Linked DNA regions of Canis lupus familiaris. The protein of the gene in region 1 purifies or fractionates together with the protein of each later gene. This does not show direct contact. Links are inferred from orthologs where the notes say so. Each region holds a gene or a part of one and is shown in the gene's direction. Other genes may lie near its edges.

Evidence for each region. Proteins that work in one complex are often made in the same cells at the same time.
Region 2: the proteins of EPS15 (region 1) and UBQLN1 purify together in Homo sapiens (affinity purification with western blotting; 3 studies listed by BioGRID and IntAct, with this or other methods). This does not show direct contact. The link is inferred for Canis lupus familiaris from reciprocal best matches to the Homo sapiens genes EPS15 and UBQLN1.
Region 3: the proteins of EPS15 (region 1) and AP2A1 purify together in Homo sapiens (affinity purification with western blotting; 5 studies listed by BioGRID and IntAct, with this or other methods). This does not show direct contact. The link is inferred for Canis lupus familiaris from reciprocal best matches to the Homo sapiens genes EPS15 and AP2A1.
Region 4: the proteins of EPS15 (region 1) and GJA1 purify together in Homo sapiens (affinity purification with western blotting; 3 studies listed by BioGRID). This does not show direct contact. The link is inferred for Canis lupus familiaris from reciprocal best matches to the Homo sapiens genes EPS15 and GJA1.

What each region holds. Positions count from the first base shown.
Region 1 is NC_049236.1:9,899,256-9,903,201, forward strand, and holds part of EPS15 (epidermal growth factor receptor substrate 15), read left to right. Parts: intron 1-1,430; coding exon 1,431-1,547; intron 1,548-1,796; coding exon 1,797-1,887; intron 1,888-3,946. UniProt on the Homo sapiens protein: Involved in cell growth regulation. May be involved in the regulation of mitogenic signals and control of cell proliferation. Involved in the internalization of ligand-inducible receptors of the receptor tyrosine kinase (RTK) type, in particular EGFR.
Region 2 is NC_049222.1:76,346,665-76,351,164, forward strand, and holds the start of UBQLN1 (ubiquilin-1), read left to right. Parts: upstream 1-1,655; coding exon 1,656-1,835; intron 1,836-4,500. UniProt on the Homo sapiens protein: Plays an important role in the regulation of different protein degradation mechanisms and pathways including ubiquitin-proteasome system (UPS), autophagy and endoplasmic reticulum-associated protein degradation (ERAD) pathway.
Region 3 is NC_049222.1:107,457,469-107,462,094, reverse strand, and holds the start of AP2A1 (AP-2 complex subunit alpha-1), read left to right. Parts: upstream 1-1,781; 5' UTR 1,782-1,918; coding exon 1,919-1,985; intron 1,986-4,626.
Region 4 is NC_049222.1:61,513,530-61,517,982, forward strand, and holds the start of GJA1 (gap junction alpha-1 protein), read left to right. Parts: upstream 1-1,608; 5' UTR 1,609-1,624; coding exon 1,625-2,773; 3' UTR 2,774-4,285; intron 4,286-4,327; 3' UTR 4,328-4,453. UniProt on the Homo sapiens protein: Gap junction protein that acts as a regulator of bladder capacity. A gap junction consists of a cluster of closely packed pairs of transmembrane channels, the connexons, through which materials of low MW diffuse from one cell to a neighboring cell.

The sequences.
Region 1 (3,946 bases):
AAAGAAGAAGATGGTGTATTCCTGGCAGAGAAAACAGTATTTACATAGGTATGAGATGAGAGAAACATGCTGCACAGAGTCAGAAGAAATTCTCAAAGGATATCTTGTGATGGTGGGGAAAGTATTGATAGGAGATGAGGCTCTCTTATAGTGGCTCCCTGCATTATCTCTTACTTAAAATATAGATGTCTGTACCCCACTGCAAACTTGCTGAACTAGAGTTTCTGGGATGGTGCCAGGTACATATATTTTTACAAAAAAATTCCATGGGTGATTATGATGTGCATTGCACCTGGATAAAAGTGACCACTTTTAGGTCAAAAAGGGCAAGAGGGTTCATCTTGAAGCATTGGAGGATTTATCTTACTGCACTGAGTAACCATTGAAGAATTTAAGCAAGACGTGACATAATTGCACTTACCTTTTAGAAAAATGTAGAAAATGGATTTGAGAGTGGGACTGAACATGCAGAGATATGTTAAGAGACTGTTGGAATGGTCTATGTGAGATGGTTTTAGCCTAAACTTAAGCAGTAATGGGAGGGATGATGACAAGAATACAAGTTTGAAATACATTAAAGACATAAAATTAACAGACTTGGTTTTTATTTAGGCATTGCAATCAAAAGGTTATCCTTCAAAGACATAGGGTGATATGGAGATTTTCCCTGTCACTTCTTAAAACTCTTTTTTTTTTTTTTTAAGATTTTATTCATTTATTCATGAGAGACAGAGACAGAGAGAAAGGCAGAGACACAGGCAGAGGGAGAAGCAGGCTCCTTGCAGGGAGCTCAATGTGAGACTCGATCCCGGGTCTCCAGGATCACGCCCTGGGCCAAAGGCGGCACTAAACCACTGAGCCCCCCGGGCTGCCCTTCCCTGTCACTTCTTAAGCCCTGTTTCCTACTGATCTAAATCCAGAAAGCCGTGGGAAGCCATTGAAGGACCTTTAACCAAACAGTCCTGATCAGATTAGTATTTTTTTATTTTATTTTATTTTTTTTCAGATTCGTATTTTAGATCTATTCCTTTAGCTACTCTAAAAAGGGTCATTTGAAAGGGCACATGTTGGAGGCAAGAAGGCAGTTGGAAGGTTAAGCTGGATCAGAATGATGATACTATAAATGGATGATAGTGACAGTGAAGATGGAGAGGAATGGATTTGAGGAGGAGGTGGGAGGTAAAACAGCAAGACTTGGAGGCTAGGTGGGAGATGACCAAAGGGAAGTGGTTAAGTGGTTAAATTTTGTGGCCTGAGTGACTTTGATGCTTGATGATACCATTTTCCAAAGAAAGATTTTAAGAGAACTCATTTAATGAATACATTCTGCTTGTCTTTTGTTTTTTAGTAATTTTTGGTTATCCTTTGTCAGTTTCCTCTGCTGAGTAGAAAATACATAGTTTAGTCCATGTAGCATTAATATTTTGTAGGTAAGAAGTAGTCCTGAAATACTGCCTTCTGGTGTGCCTGATGATAATGAAGTGGCGACTACAGCTGTTAATGAGAAAGTTTGTCCTGAATTTAATACTGACAGACATTCAAAAGAGGTAAAAATAATTTTATATATATATACATATATATATATTTGTGTGTGTATGTATATGTTCTCATTACTGGTTTCCCTAGATGGGCTACACACTGTTTTAAACTAAGGAAAGAAAAATGTATTAAGTGAGCTTTATGACTACAGAAATATTTGTTGTATTACCATCCATTGATATTTTTCAAAGCATTTTATTTCAAAATCTTAAAACTGGTTCCTAAAAGAATACTTTTTAATTTAAAATTATTTTTAGGGCGATCCATTTAATGCAGAATCCAGTTCACTGACAGATCCAGTTGCAGACACAAACTTGGATTTTTTCCAGTCTGATCCTTTTGTTGGCAGTAAGTACTCTTCTTATATTATGGATTTACCAAAAAAGTCTTTTTAATGTAACGATATAAGAATGAGGGCTTCAGTTTTGAGATCCTACTTGTTACAACAAAAGTGGAGGATGTAGAGATGTGATATGTTATATTTGCTGGTATTTGTCCTCTTCAAGCAACTAACTCACTTCTAGGACTAAGCCACTGATTATGTCTGAGGAGCCCCTGATTAAGAGCATGTTTCTTGTTCAGAATAAGGACCAAAAGAAAGAGATATTATGGACCAGGAGAGGAGATTAAGTACTCTTAGGTCAACCAGCGATTTTTTACTAATGTGCCAACATCATGCTTTTATTTATTTTTTAAAGATTTTATTTATTTATTCATGAGAAACAGAGAGAGAGGCAGAGACACAGGCAGAGGGAGAAGCAGGCTCCATGCAGGGTTCCCGACACGGGACTCGTTCCTGGGACTCCAGGATCATGTCCTGGGTCGAAGGCTGGCGCTAAACCGCTGAGCCACCCAGGGATCCCCACATCATGCTTTTAAACGGTGGAATCAATAGCAGTTAGAAGCCTGATCCCTGCCCTTATGGTGCCTATATTGTTATTGAAGAAATAAAAGTTTAATAAATTGAAATACCTGGTGTCCATGTAAACTATGTTAAATACCACTGGAGTCAAAGCTCTTTTTGCATTTTATTTATTTCCAAGTCAGTTTATTGAAATTGATAGGTCATTTTACAACAGTTTTATTTTTTTTTTTCCTCCAAGGTTTTATTTAACTTCCAGTTAGTTGGGGATCCCTGGTGGCTCAGCAGTTTAACGCCTGTCTTCGGCCCAGGGAGTGATCCTGGAGTCCCAGGATCAAGTCCCACATTAGGCTCCCTACATGGAGCCTGCTTCTCCCTCTGCCTGTGTCTCTCCCTCTCTCTTTCTCTGTGTGTGTGTCTCTCATGAATAAATAAATAAAATCTTGGGCAGCCCAGGTGGCTCAGCGGTTTAGCGCCACCTTCAGCCCAGGGTGTGATCAGGGACCTGGGATCAAGTCCCACACCGGGCACCCTACATGGAGCCTGCTTCTCCCTCTGCCTGTGTCTCTGTCTGTCTGTCTCTCTCTGTGTGTCTCTCATGAAAAAATAAAATCTTTAAAAATAAAGTCTAGAACAAAAATTTAATTTAAAAAAATATAAAATCTTTAAAAAAATAAATTCCCGTTAGTTAACATACAATATAATATTAGTTTCAGGTGTAGAATTTAGTGAATCATCACTTACATACAACACCTGGTGCTCAGGACAACAAATGCCCTCCTTAATCCCCATCACACATTTAACCCATGTTTTCTCCCCCACCCAGGAGAACTCCTCTCTTGTTATCATTAGTGTATTCTCTATAGTTAAGACTATGTTTCTTGGCTTGCCTTTTTTCCCCCCATGGTCTTTTTTTGTTTGTTTGTTTCTTAAATTGCACTTATGAGTGAAGTCATATAGTATTTCTTTCTCTGACTTATTTTCTTAGCATAATACTCTAGCTCATTTGTTGTTGCAAATGAGAAGATTTCATTCTTTTTTGTTGGCTGAGTAACATTCCACTACATGCACATGTGTGTGTGTGCGCGCACACACACACCCCATGTCTTTGGTATCCATTCATCAGTTGATGAACATTTGGTCTGTTTCCATTAATTTGGCTATTGTAGGTAATGCTGCTGTAAACATTGGAGTGCATGTATCCCTTTAAATTAGTATTTTTGTATTCTTTGGGTAAATACCATTGATGCAATTGCTGGGTCCTAGGGTAGTTTTATTTTTAATTTTTTGAAGAACCTCCATACTGGTTTCCAGACTGGCCACACCAGTTTGCATTCCCACCCACAGTGCAAGAGGGTTCCCCTTTCTCCACATCCTCGTCAATACCTGTTGTTTCTTCTGCTGTTGAGTTTAGCCATTCTGACAGGTGTGAGGTGGTATCTCATTGTAGTTTTGGTATGCATTTCCCTGATGATGAGTGATGTTGAACATCTGTACATCGTCTTTGGAAAGATGTCTATTCGTGTCATTTGCCCACTTTTTTTT
Region 2 (4,500 bases), on another chromosome or scaffold:
TTCCAATGGTGGAACTTTCTACCTTGAGAAGTAGTGATTACCTCACATATGCAAGTTTTCATCCGTCAGCAGCGTGTATCCTTCAACAGGCAGCCTTGTAAGGTAACCTGTTCACCTTATTGAACAATGCTGCCAGAAATTAGCTGATGTCAAATGATGTCTATATTGAAGTTTATTTTTTTGGAACTCTTTTAACACCCAGATTCCAAAGGTGTTCTGCTAAAAAGCAGTCTTCCTGGGACAGTATTCATTGCCAGAACAGGGCTGGATTGTTTAAAAACACAAATACAGAACGTGTCTTTGCGTATTTGGGTCACTGTGGGCTGTCTGGGTTTCCATTTGCGCAATACTGATTAATAAAGCTAATGTCCTGGGTTCTATATTCCTTGCAAGTCATCTTTAAAGGCAAATGACGTCATTTCAAAGCCCGAGTTCTAGGGGGGGGGGAGATAATTAAATTATTTATACCCACACTCTACTAAAAAGGATTTTTGAACCTAAAATCTGAACTGCAGGAATAACTTGACAGAATGTAAAACGAACACCTCGGCTTCATTCAAGCGCCCCAGGTGGGGGGGGGGGGCAGCCCTTGGGCCCCCGTTTCTGCCCCCGTACTTTGCGGGGCAGCGTCCAGAGAATCCGGGGCGCTCGCGCAGGCTGTCCGGGCGGGGGGCGGCGGCCTGTCAGCAGAGGTGGCCTGATCGCCAGACCCAACCGGCTGACCCGAGGGCGGGCCGCCCGGGCCGCGGGGCAGTGACTCCGCGGGATCGCGCAGGGTGGCTACGGCCCACTCTTCCTTCGTTACGACGAAGCGCCTTCCTCCATTAACGTAGCTTCCACCTCCCGCGCACCGGGCAGTACGGGCAAGCATCTCAAAGGCCACAAGTGGGCAAGCGGACGGCTGTTACCGCGACACCCGGCACTCCCACTGCCCTCCCCGGGGTCCCGGGTGCGCGCAAAGGCGAGGCGAGCGCTACGGCGCGGAGGGGCCGGGCACGGCCGCCGCGGGGTCCGCAGGGGGCGGGGGCCGCCGCCGAACCACAGCGCGCAGGCGCGTCCGCGTCGCCCAGTGGTCGAGCTCCTTTCTAGTAACTTCGCTAGGCGTGAGGTCATCACCGCGCGCCGTTACCGTGCTTCCCAGAACACGCTAATTTGTTTTTTAGCCAAGGGGATGAAATGAAATGAACTGATCCCTCCCGCCCCATTTTGCTTTTAGCTCTCCTCTCCGGCTGCGCCTACCCTCTGGGCCATGGAGCCGGGACAGGGAAAGAAAGGCGGCCGGGGCTGGAAGCGGGGCTGGCCGGGCATGACTCGGCGACGCCGCCAGCCGACTTACCCGGCGTGCCCTGCGCGGCGCCGGCCGAGGGACGTGGGGGGAGGGGCGGGGAGGAGGAAGAGCGGCGGCGGCTGCGGATGTCGCTGCGACCGAGCGGCGTCTGAACTCACGGCGGCTGCCGAGCGCCCAGCCCGGGCCTGCGCCGGAGCCCGCGCCGAGCCCCGCGGCCCCTCGCCTGCCAGGGCGGCCCCGCACCGGTTGTCACTGAGGCGGCGTGCCCCGCGTTCTCCGCTGCCCGGGCCGGCCGGCTCTGCCGTCTGCTGGCTCCCCCTCGCTCGCCCGCTCCCTCCTGCGCGCCTGAGTCACCGCCGCCGCCGCCATGGCCGAGAGTGGTGAAAGCGGCGGCCCTCCGAGCTCCCAGGACGGCGCCGCCGCGGCCGAAGGTGCAGGCGCCCCCGCGGCCGCTGCGTCCGCGGAGCCCAAGATCATGAAAGTCACCGTGAAGACCCCGAAGGAGAAGGAGGAGTTCGCCGTGCCCGAGAACAGCTCCGTGCAGCAGGTGAGGGCCGCCCTGGCCGCGGGCCCGGGTGGGGGTGGCGGCGGGACCTCCGCCCGCGGCGGGAGGAGACCGTCCCCCGAGGTGCTGTCGGCCCGCCTCGCGGGTCTCGCCCCGAATCAGATCACACCCAAGTTGCCGGGTGTGCTCCTTGGGACACCGCAGAGGCTTGTGGCGGGGCCCCGCGGCCTGCTGTGGGACGCGCCGACGCCGCCCCCTCCCCCCGCTCCCGCGTCCGCGGACCACCAGCCCCCGCCCCAGCCCCCGCCCCCCGCCCCCCGCCCCCCGCCCCCCGCCGCCTCCCTCCCGCTGCTCACAAAGGAAAGGGACCACCGCCGCGCTCCGGGCGGGGTGGAGGCCGGGCTGGGCGAGGGTTCGCGGTAGCCTCCTCTGCGGTTTTGTCTCCTGAGTTAAAAAAAAAAAAAAGGGTGGGTGGGTGCCCATTGTTTCACCTGCTTGCAGCTTAAGGTCGATTTTGGGGCGAGGAGCACGTGTACATTTAGTTCTGCGTTTTGATTGCTGAAATCTTTTCTACCTTCTAATCTTCAAAAAAAAAAAAAAATTAACCATGACGTAGAAATCGTTTTCAGCCACATCTTAATAGTACTAGCCTTAAGGAAGAAAGGTGGATGACTTTCATTGATGACTTGCGGTTTTCTTTTTAGTGTTTATCATCCCTTAGGTGCCAGTCATCGGGAAGGTTTTTGTTTGATTTTAGAGGGATGGTAGCCACGTTTTGCAGATATTAGCGGTGGCAGTCGAATGCAAGAGAACAAAATTGGAGTTAATGGAGAATATTGCCAGATAATTTACTGCTTAAAATTGGGTTCGGGTGTACAAACTTTGCTGTTCAATTAAGAATCTTGAAGAATTCAACAAATTTGTTGTAGCTTATTGTTGAAAATATTTTGCATAGTTGTTGACCTCTGACGATCTAAAATGGGAACAGTTTGAGGGAACAACAATGTGAAATGTACATGTAAGTTTTCTCATAAACTGTAAATGGGATATTGGTTTACATAATCGTTCTGAAAGGTGGTGTAGAGTAGAGCAGGAAATAGTGGTGTAAATAGAGTAGAGCAGTAAGTAGAGTGTACCATCAACTGAGAAACTTTTACCACCTACTGAATCACCTTTTGTGTGTGTGTGTGTGTGGGGGGGTCCCCAATTGTATAAAAATTTCTCTTAACATTTTAATATTTTCTAACATCTAGCAGAGTTGAAAGAATGGTACAGTGAACATTCATAGTTCGTCACCTACAATTGACGCTTTGTTTTATTTGCTTTATCACGCAACTAATCATGTATTACTTCCTTTTACTTTTTGAATGCATTTTAGAGTAAGTTGCAAGTATCATTAAATGTTTTCAACAAATACACCTATATGATCCAAAGTTTTATCAAGATGTAGAACTTTACAGTTCAATCACTCCCCTCCATACATCACTGTTTTGATTTTTTTCACCATTAGTTTTTGCCTGTTCTAGAACTTCACATAAGTGGGATTATATAGTATATATTCTGTTGGGTAAGGTCTTTTCACTCAGTGTAATGTTTTTGAGATGCATTCTTGTATATGCCAGTAATTCCTGTTTATTGCTGTGTTTTCCACTGTGTGAATATGCCATTAATTAATGCATTCTGCTGAGGGCCACATGGGCTTCTTGCAGTTGGTTGCTGTGAACATACAAACTTTTTTTGTTGGACAGAGGGAGTTTTTCCTGTTAAAATTCTTAGAAGTGGAATGACTGGGTGATAGCGTAGTTGTAGGCTTAGTTATGAGAAACTGTCTTTTTAAAAAGAGCTTCTATCGCTCTTTTTTAAAGGCTGGTCGAAAAGAAACAACCCAGATGATTAACAACCCCTTAGCTGATGAATAAAGAGTAAAATGTGATATATTCCCCTACAATGGAATACTATTCGGTATTCCACCAAAGGTTCTACCAAAGGTTCTTGGGAGTTCCTGTTGCTCCACATCCCTGCTAGCATTTGATAGTGTCAGTCTTTTTCATTTTAGCTCTGCTAGGTATATTAGCTTTTGAAGCCCTTAGATCTTCTTTCTAGGATTGCTAATTCAGGTCTCCACCTTCATGCCTGCTTTCAGCATTTTATTGTAAAGGATTGGAAAGAGTCAATATTTTATAAATAGAAAAGTACATTTAAGTTATTTTATGAGGTACTGTCTGTTAGGATTTATATATATATTGTGTGTGTGAGAGTGACATTAGAATTTTAAAGCCTGTGGGAGTTTTAATTTTACTTTTCTGTAACCAAAGTAAATTGGTTAAATTAAAGCTTTTCCGAAGCAACTTATTCTGATGACATTTGAATTTTTATTCTGAAAAGTGCTTTCTGTTGTCATTCGTTCATTAAAATTAGTGCAGAGAGCAGAAGGGAGCTTCCAGGTAACGTGTCTAATTAGCTTGTTCCGGGATTTTGTAGTGCTCTAGGTTATAGTAAAAGATTTTGAAATCTAGTTCTCTGAAATATTCAGGCAACATATATTCTAGTCTTAGAAAACATTTTTATCATTTGAAACTTTTAGAATATTCGTATACTTAGATATAACAAGTATTGCATAGATTTGAGCCTTTTCTTGTTAAGGGAAATTGCTGTGTGTCAGGATCATTACCACAAACATCATGTAACATCATACTTTATGATGAGT
Region 3 (4,626 bases), on another chromosome or scaffold:
GGTGGGGAGACACACTTAAACACACTTTTCCTATTCTTGGGACTCTCCATGTCTCTTCACATCCCTCAAAAAGAAGACAAGTTCAAACCCCATTACTAATATATATATATATATTATATATATATAAAGTATTTATCCTTAGGAAGAGTTTCTTCATGTCATGAGTGGGCACCTCCAGTCCTTGCAATGTTTAATGTATCTTTCCATAAAAAGGACTTTTTCCAACTCAAATTCCTATTGTTTGTTGTTTTTAACCGGGCTGCTGTCCGTTCTCTGGGGGCAGACAGCACCCCCAACCCATATTAGGAATGGACTCTCCTGGTTACTAAAACAGCTCTGTGCATGTCCTTCTTCCTAGAACCCAGAATGATTTTCCCAAGCCCCATTCCTGGAAACCCAAATGGACTGTCCATTAAATTTGGAAAGTACGCCCCGCAGCTCTTGTCTTGGTACCCATCCCCCACCCTCACCCCACACTCCTGGGATTCCGAATGGAAGTTCACAGGATCCAGGACACTCCCCTCAAGGCTCATTCCAAGAATACTAGACGTCTCAGATTAGAAAAGTGATGTGGGGTTTAGTTCCTGTAAGTGACAGAAACAGCCGCTTCCAGTTCCCTTTGCCCCAAATTTCTCAATAGCTCGGGGCATCGTAGTTCCTGAGGCTTTGCCTTCCCCCAAAATCAGCGAATCAAAGAAGGTCTCAGGGTGCCAAGGGGTAATGGTTGGACCAAACCAAGCAGATTCATCTATTCCTTCCTTTTAACTAGTGTTCTTCAGTACCAGATCCCATTCTTGCTCAGGAGGAACTCTAAGTTTGGTGGAGGAGAGGTTCACGATTTTGATTTGATATCTGTAGAATGGCGTTATGGTTGCCCCCAAAAGGCATTGTACATTGGAAAGTGGTTAAAAGACAAAATGTAGGTTAAATCCCTGCTCTGTTATCCTGAGAGCTGTGTGACCTTGGGCAAGTCACGCAACCTCTCTGGACCACAGGTTTAAGGTCTGCCTAAATAGGCTTAGATTGAAATTACTGTTTCCTCGGTTCTGAGAACGGAGGTTTCAACATCTTGGCCCCAGACAAGAGAGGGGGAAGGGGACGGGAAGACTTCCTGGAAGAAGATTTAAGGAGTCGGGGGTGGAAGAGAGGAGGGAGAAAGTGGAAACAGGCAGACGCTTGCGCAGTAAACATCTCACATTTTCTTGCCCCTCCCAACCACTTCTCTGCAGCGGGGAATTGCAGGCGACGCTCCACCTATCCAGGGCAAGACGAGTGACAACCCCGTCCCCCTTCCTTCTCTACCTATGATCGCCTTTCTCCCGCCCCCACAACCGCCCAATCGGGGGCGGGAACTGAGGAGGTCTGGCGAATCCGCGACGCCTGCGTGGGCGATCTGCCCGCTCATTGGTCTAGATAAATGCAAGTCCCGCCTCCCAAGCCCCCGCCCCCGCCTTCCTTCTTGTCAATCCCTCCCTTCGCCGGATCCAATCAGCAAGGGACCCGGCCTCACGGAGGGGGCGGTCCCACCACACGTAACCGAACTCCGCCCGTCTCTCGGGCAACGCCCCTTTCCCCCGCCCCCCGCGAACGGAAATAGCGGGCCACTGGGCCAATCGCAGCAGCGTGCCTTTGTCCAGCGACCAATGAGAGAGAGGGCGGGGGGCGGTTGCGTCCGATTCTGAGCGGCAGTAACTCGAGCCAATGGGAGGTTGATAGCTCAGGACGGCGAACGGGAGGGGAGGGGCCGGGGGCGGAGCCGCGGCCTGCCGCCCGCCCGCCCGCCCGCCAGCCCGCCCTCCCCCCTGGCCGGCTCTGCTTCTCGGCGCTGCTTGGGGTCCTTTGCTCCCGGTCCCCGCCTGCCAGCCCCCGCTGCGCTGTGCCCTGCCCGGCCAGGCCTGGAGCCGACACCACCGCCATCATGCCGGCCGTCTCCAAGGGCGATGGGATGCGGGGGCTCGCGGTGTTCATCTCCGACATCCGGAACTGTGAGAGCGCGGCCGGGGGACACTGGAGGGCGGGGGAGCATGGAATTGAGGGGCTCGGGGATTACTGAGGGGCCCGGGGCATTGAAAGCCATCGCGGGCGAAGGGGGGGAGGATAGAGAGGCCCCGGGGGGAACTTTAGGGTGGGAGCAATGGAAGGACTTAGGGTGTCATAGAGTGCCTCTTGAGGTGACGACACGGAGTGGCTAGAGGCGTCCGGGAGGGTGTTAAAGGAAAGGTCCCGGGGCTGGGGACATAAGGGTGTCCCCTGGGAATGCTAGAGAGGCTGGAGGAACCTATCAATGGTGGGGAGAGAGAAATCCTTGATGTCGGTAGAAAGGGAAGGAGGTGCATGGGTGGGGGGTACCCTGTGGAGCGATAGAGTGGGAGAGGGCCCGAGGAGACCGGGAGGACGTAAAACACAGGAAGCATCATGGGGTCTGGCTTTGAGGGCCTAGCTGGGGGGTGTCATAGAAGGGAAGGGGCTAGGTAGGTCACGGAGGCTCCTGGGTGGTGCACAGAGCGAATCTGAGAGTAATAGAAAGTCCCAGGGGGTTGAGGAAGAGAGATGGGAAGGTGGGACTATATAGCAGGACCTTGAAGAGGGAGAGAGGGACTCCAGGATGGAGGGCAATGGAGAGGGGGGCTGAAGGGTCGCTACAGGGAAAGGAGGGGTTGAGGAATATGGAGGAGAGTTGCTGGGGGTGGAGGGTCTTGGGAGAACCCGAGACAGGAAGCTAGGGGCCTGGAACAAAGAAGAAGAGGTTACAAAGTGGGGGCTTGAGGAATGTGCCAGAATGGGGAGAGCCCAGAGCTCAAAAGAAGGGCCCAGGGAGCCTTAGGATTTTGTTGGGAAGAGATCTGGAAAGCTGGGGGTTGGGGGAAGCCTGATCCCAGAGGGAGGTCAGAGGTCAGGGAGCAGGCCAGTCCTGAATCTGGAGCCCTCTCTCATCTGACCACATCAATATGGGGACAGTGAGCAGCAGCAGCAAGAATTGTCGTGACGATGAGAGGCCTGGTGCCAAGTCAGCTTCCCAACTCCTGGGAGTGGGTGTTGGTGTTTGGAGCTGCCAAGAGCTTTGGAGGCTATATCCGCAGGGGCTCTAGGGTCAGCCGGACCTGAGCTTGAGTTTGAGTGCTGTCACTCCCTAGCCATGTGACCTTGAATGGGGGATTTCGCCTTTCTATTTCCTCATCTGTCAGGAGGGACTGCTGATTGCACCTTCCTGATGAGGTTGTTGTGATAAATGCATGTGAGTGAGGCCTTCTGCACATTCCAAACACTGGACAGTCTTGGCTATTGTTTTTGTCATTTGGTGGATCTGACAAGTGGCCTCTGTTAGATGCCTGGAGATTATTTTGGAATTTGGTAGATATGAAAGGACTTAGTACATAGTAGGTGCTCAGCGAAAGAGGGCTGGAAGGTGTTGGGAGTCAGGTGAAGGAGAGATGTTGTGGTTACTATGGTAAGAGGTGAGTGAGAAGGGGCTGCGGGTTAGGTGGGGGGCCATCTATCAGGAGTAGGTGTGCATTGCCCCAGATGCCTACCAGCAATGTGAAGTGATGTGACTCTTGGCGAGTCATTTAACTTCTCTGAGTCCCAGTTTTTTCTTTTTTTTTTTTTCTTTCTTTCTTTCTTTCTTTCTTTTCTTTTTTTTAGACTTATTTATTTTAGAGAGAGACAGAAAGAGAGCACAAGGAGGAGGGGCAGAGAGAGAGGGAAAGAGAGAGACTCTCAAGCAGACACTGCATTGAGCACAGAGCCCAACTCAGGGCTTCATTTCACGACCCTGAGATCACCACCTGAGCCAAAATCAAGAGTCAGCTGCTCAGGCACCTCGAGGCTCCTATTTTCTTATCTGTAAACTTCCTTGATAATATCATCTTGTCTCTGAAGGTTCATTCATTCATTTATTCAACAAATGCTTTTTGATCACTACTTTTTTTTTTTAGATTGTATTTATTTATTCATGAGAGACACAGAGAAAGAGGCAAGGACACAGGCTGAGGGAGAAGCAGGCTCTCTGCTGGGAGTCTGATGCGGGATCACGACTTGAGCCGAAGGCAGATACCCAACCACTGAACCACCCAGGTGCCCCTGATCACTACTTTTTGACACTACACCTGGGACTAGGCTATAACAGCCAACAAGAATCTCTGGCTTGGGAGCACCCAGGCCATGAGGGACATAGAAAATAAACACTGAACTACAATAAATGACACTATGTCAGAAGGTAATGTGAAGGAAAGTCAGGAAGGAAAGATAAGGAAGGACCAGGATTGAGATGGTGCCTGAGTAGGCCTCCCCAAGGGGGTGACATGTGAGTAGACTTTTGAGTGAAGTGAAGGAACAGACCCTGTAGATTTTGGAGGGCAGAGGGGTCCAGGTGGAGGGATGGTGCATTTAGAGGTCCTGGGGTGGCAGTATGCTTGACGTGTGTTCTGGTAAGAGGGAGGGGACTTGTGTGGTTGGAGCTGAGGGGGGAGAGGGCAGGAAATGAGGGCAGAGAGAGGGGACAGGGATTGTGGAGGGCTTTACAGGCCTTAGCACTCTGGCCTTTCTCTGGGTGAAACGAGAGAAGGGTTAGAGCACAGGAGGGGCTTGAGCTGACTGATGTTTTAAAATAATTCCTTTGCTGGCATG
Region 4 (4,453 bases), on another chromosome or scaffold:
TAATCTTTGACCACTTCATCCTTTTTTTTTACTCTCTACTTACAACTCTGCTGAAAATTAAACTATATTCTCTATGCCTGTCATATGTAATGTCACTCATTTCTTCCCAGCTCTCAGGCCTTGCTAAGATTGTATCAAAGCATGAAAGCATTTCTGGCCTTAATCCAGCTTCACTATGATTTTAAAACCAGTGTGTGGTGCATTGGAAGTCCTTAGTCTTGGGATCATTAGTCTTGTAGCTCTACTGGTAGCTGAATATTTCCTATACCTTTAAGAGCTCAACTTTCATCAGTTAAATGAACTATGGGCAATTAGAAGTATAAATTAAATTAGCCAAGTAACTTTTGACATCCATGTCATCTCTACAGAATTGAGTCCATTTCACACTCCCAACAATGGGGAAGTCCTAGGCTTAAGATATCTAGGTATTGATAGAAAGTTAAATCTAGTGTATAGGATGAGGGTGCAAAGCCTGATAAGGGAACTTGAAGGTATATAGTAATTTAAAGATGAAAACCAATCATTTTTGCTAGAGATAACACTTTAAGATGGTAATTTAAAAAAATTTCTTAAGCTATAATTAGTATTGAGACAAATTGAACTTTTACTTGAAATGTGATGCGCAGGAGCACCGGGGTGGCTCAGTGGGTCAGGTCTCCGGCTCGCTCTGGCTCCCATCATGATCTCATGGGTCTTGAGATCGAGCCCCCATGTGGGGCTCTGCACTCAGGAGGGAGTCTTCTCCACCCCCACTCATGCTTATTTGCTCATGCACTCTCTCTCTTTCTCTCTCTAAAATAAAATAAATCTTTAAAAAAATGTGATGTGCATTTAGACTTTGCTTTTTTGAAAGTAGTTTCCTGCACATAATGACACATCGTGTCAAAATGGCGTATTTTAGTACAACATATTTTTCTCTGGGCAGAAGACAGACTTCTGAACCACCTAAGTCACTGCTTAAGAAGAAACAGAGAAGTATAAATGACCCTATTATAAAATATGCACTAATTACACTTGAACGAGCAAGGTGAAACAGTTCAGAGTACAATTAGGGATAAAATTCTATATAATAGGATGGAGGTTTGGAAACAAGGTTGTGTGTGTGTGTGTTTGTGTGTGTGTGTGTGTGTGTTCAGGGGCGTTCTTACTTCAGTTCTTAAACACCTGTACTTTTTGAAAACCGTCCTTTCAGCATTTTGCTTAGGCATGCATCCAGACACAGGCCTACCCGGCAAGAATTGCCCTCATTTATCAGACGGATAAAATAAGCAGAGGCACTTAGCATAGACAGTTTTTCGAGTCACATGGTGGGGCAGTGGTTGAGCAAGTTAACCTGTCCTTTGCAAGTTAAGATTGCCATTTACTGGGGACATCGGCTCTATTGCTTCTAAGATTTACCATATCTCAAGAAAATTGTGAGACTTGTTTGCAGGGGGAAATGGGACAGGAAGAGTTTGAACTTATTTTTTTTTTTTTTTTTAATTTGGAAGAGTGCTAGAAAGATAGGAGACCTTTTATCTTATTTTGACTCTCAACTGGAGACAACTATACATTTTAACTCATACTTTACAGTCTGTGATCATTTAGTTGTCTTTCGTTTCTTTTCAGGTGGTGCCCCGGCAACATGGGTGACTGGAGTGCCTTAGGCAAACTCCTTGACAAGGTTCAAGCCTATTCCACCGCTGGAGGGAAGGTGTGGCTGTCTGTCCTTTTCATTTTCCGAATTCTGCTACTGGGGACAGCGGTTGAGTCGGCCTGGGGTGATGAGCAGTCTGCCTTTCGTTGTAACACTCAACAGCCTGGTTGTGAAAATGTCTGCTATGACAAATCCTTCCCAATCTCTCATGTACGCTTCTGGGTCCTGCAGATCATATTTGTGTCTGTCCCCACACTCTTGTACCTGGCTCATGTGTTCTACGTGATGCGCAAGGAAGAGAAACTGAACAAGAAAGAGGAGGAGCTCAAAGTTGCCCAAACCGATGGTGCCAACGTGGACATGCACTTGAAGCAGATTGAAATAAAGAAGTTCAAGTATGGAATTGAAGAGCACGGCAAGGTGAAAATGCGAGGGGGCCTGCTGCGAACCTACATCATCAGCATCCTGTTCAAGTCTGTTTTCGAGGTGGCCTTCTTGCTGATCCAGTGGTACATCTATGGATTCAGCTTGAGTGCCGTTTACACTTGCAAAAGAGAACCCTGCCCTCATCAGGTAGACTGCTTCCTCTCTCGCCCCACGGAGAAAACCATCTTCATCATCTTCATGCTGGTCGTGTCCTTGGTGTCTCTTGCCTTGAACATCATCGAACTCTTCTATGTCTTCTTCAAGGGTGTTAAGGATCGCGTGAAAGGCAAGAGCGATCCTTACCATGCTACCACTGGCCCACTGAGCCCCTCCAAAGACTGTGGATCTCCGAAATATGCATATTTCAATGGCTGCTCCTCACCCACGGCTCCCCTCTCCCCCATGTCTCCTCCTGGGTACAAGCTGGTTACTGGAGACAGAAATAATTCTTCCTGCCGCAATTACAACAAACAAGCAAGTGAGCAAAACTGGGCTAACTACAGTGCAGAACAAAATCGAATGGGCCAGGCAGGAAGCACCATCTCCAACTCCCATGCACAGCCTTTTGATTTCCCTGATGACAACCAGAATTCTAAAAAACTAGCCGCTGGGCATGAACTGCAGCCACTAGCCATTGTGGACCAGCGGCCTTCCAGCAGAGCCAGCAGCCGTGCCAGCAGCCGACCTCGGCCTGACGACCTGGAGATCTAGATCCAGGCTTGAGAGCATTGATTCCACTCAGTGTGGAGAAGAGAAAAGGTGCTGTAGAAAGCGCACCTTAGGCGTTCATTTTGTTTCAGTGGAGGTGGTACTCAACAGCCTTCATCGTGAGGCTTAGAAAACACAAAGACATTAGAATACCTGGGTTCACTGGGGGTGTTTGGGATAGGCGGGTGGAGAGGGAGGGGAACCGGGAGGTACAAGTTGGTATTTAATGTAGTTTATTCAAAGAACTTTAGTTCTAAATATAAGTTGCATTAGGTGATACATAGGTAAGGGCTTTTTCTCCCCCCCACACACCCTAAGAATAGTGCTGTATATGTGAAAGAGTGGGTGATATATTTGGTTAAGTACTTTTTTGTTTTACCATGAAACTGAGATAACTTTGGCCGGGAAAAAAGAAAAATACTTCCTGGACATCTTGTTTCCTTTTATCAAGAAGAAGTTGGAGGATTGTCCTTATGTCCCTGCTAAAAAACATTCCATTGTTAAAATTTGCACTTTGAAGGTAAGCGTCCTAGGTGGGACCCTCCAGGTGTCTGTGGACTTGTGATACTATATTTTCTATTCTTGGTATCAGTTAAAAGTTCAGATAGGGCCCACAGAAAAAAGACTTTCCATGCATTTTCAAATCTCAGCCAGTCATATGTACATTATTTTTTTTTAACATCTACTTGCATCCTATTAATGCCATCACTTTTTCATCATTCCTCAACAACTGTTCACATTCATTTAATGGTTTCTGTAAAGATTTTTAAAACCGTGGGGATATCACTTAACATTTTTTGAATTAGAGTCAGGGAATCAAGCCATGCTCAATATTTAACAATCACTTCTATGTGTATGTGTGTGGAAGAGTGTGTTTTATTTGTCATGTATTGGTACAAGCAGAGCAGTATAAACTCACAAACACAGATTTGAAAATAATGCACACATAGTGTTCAAATTTGAGCCTTTCTCATGGATTTTGTGGTGTGGGCCAATATGGTGTTTACATTATATAATTCCTGCTGTGCAAGTAAAGCACACTTTTTTTTTCTTTCCCTAAGTGTTTTTTTCCCATGTATCCTATTGTGGATACTGGTTTTGTTAATTATGATTTTTTCCCTTTTTTCTCTTTTTTAGAATATAGCAGTAATGCTATTGCTGAAATGGATGATTTTCTTTTTCTGAAATGTAATCATGGATGCTTGAATGATAGAATTTTAGTACTGTAAACAGGCTTTAGTAATTAATGTGAGACACTTAGAAGAAATGCTTAGAGTGGGCTTTTAAGTGTGCCTAAATGAATTTTGCAGTAACTGGTATTCTTGGTTTTGTCCTACTTAATACACATTAATTCAGAACTTGTATACTGTTAAGAGTTAGATTGTCTTTTGGAATGACCAGCAACTTTGATGTTTGCACTAAGATTTTATTTGGAATGCAAGAGAGGTTGAAAGAGGTTTCAGTAGTACACATGTAACTAATTTATTTGAAATGTACCCTAAAGAAATCTACCATGTAACTAATTTATTTGAAATGTACCCTAAAGAAATCTACCAGTTTCTTCAAATGCCTTTTTAAAACTCATCAGAGATGATTAGTAAAAATGCGGAGTATCATACTTTTCTTCTTGCATGTCAGCTACATAAACAGTTTTGTACAATGAAAAATACTAATTTGTTTGAC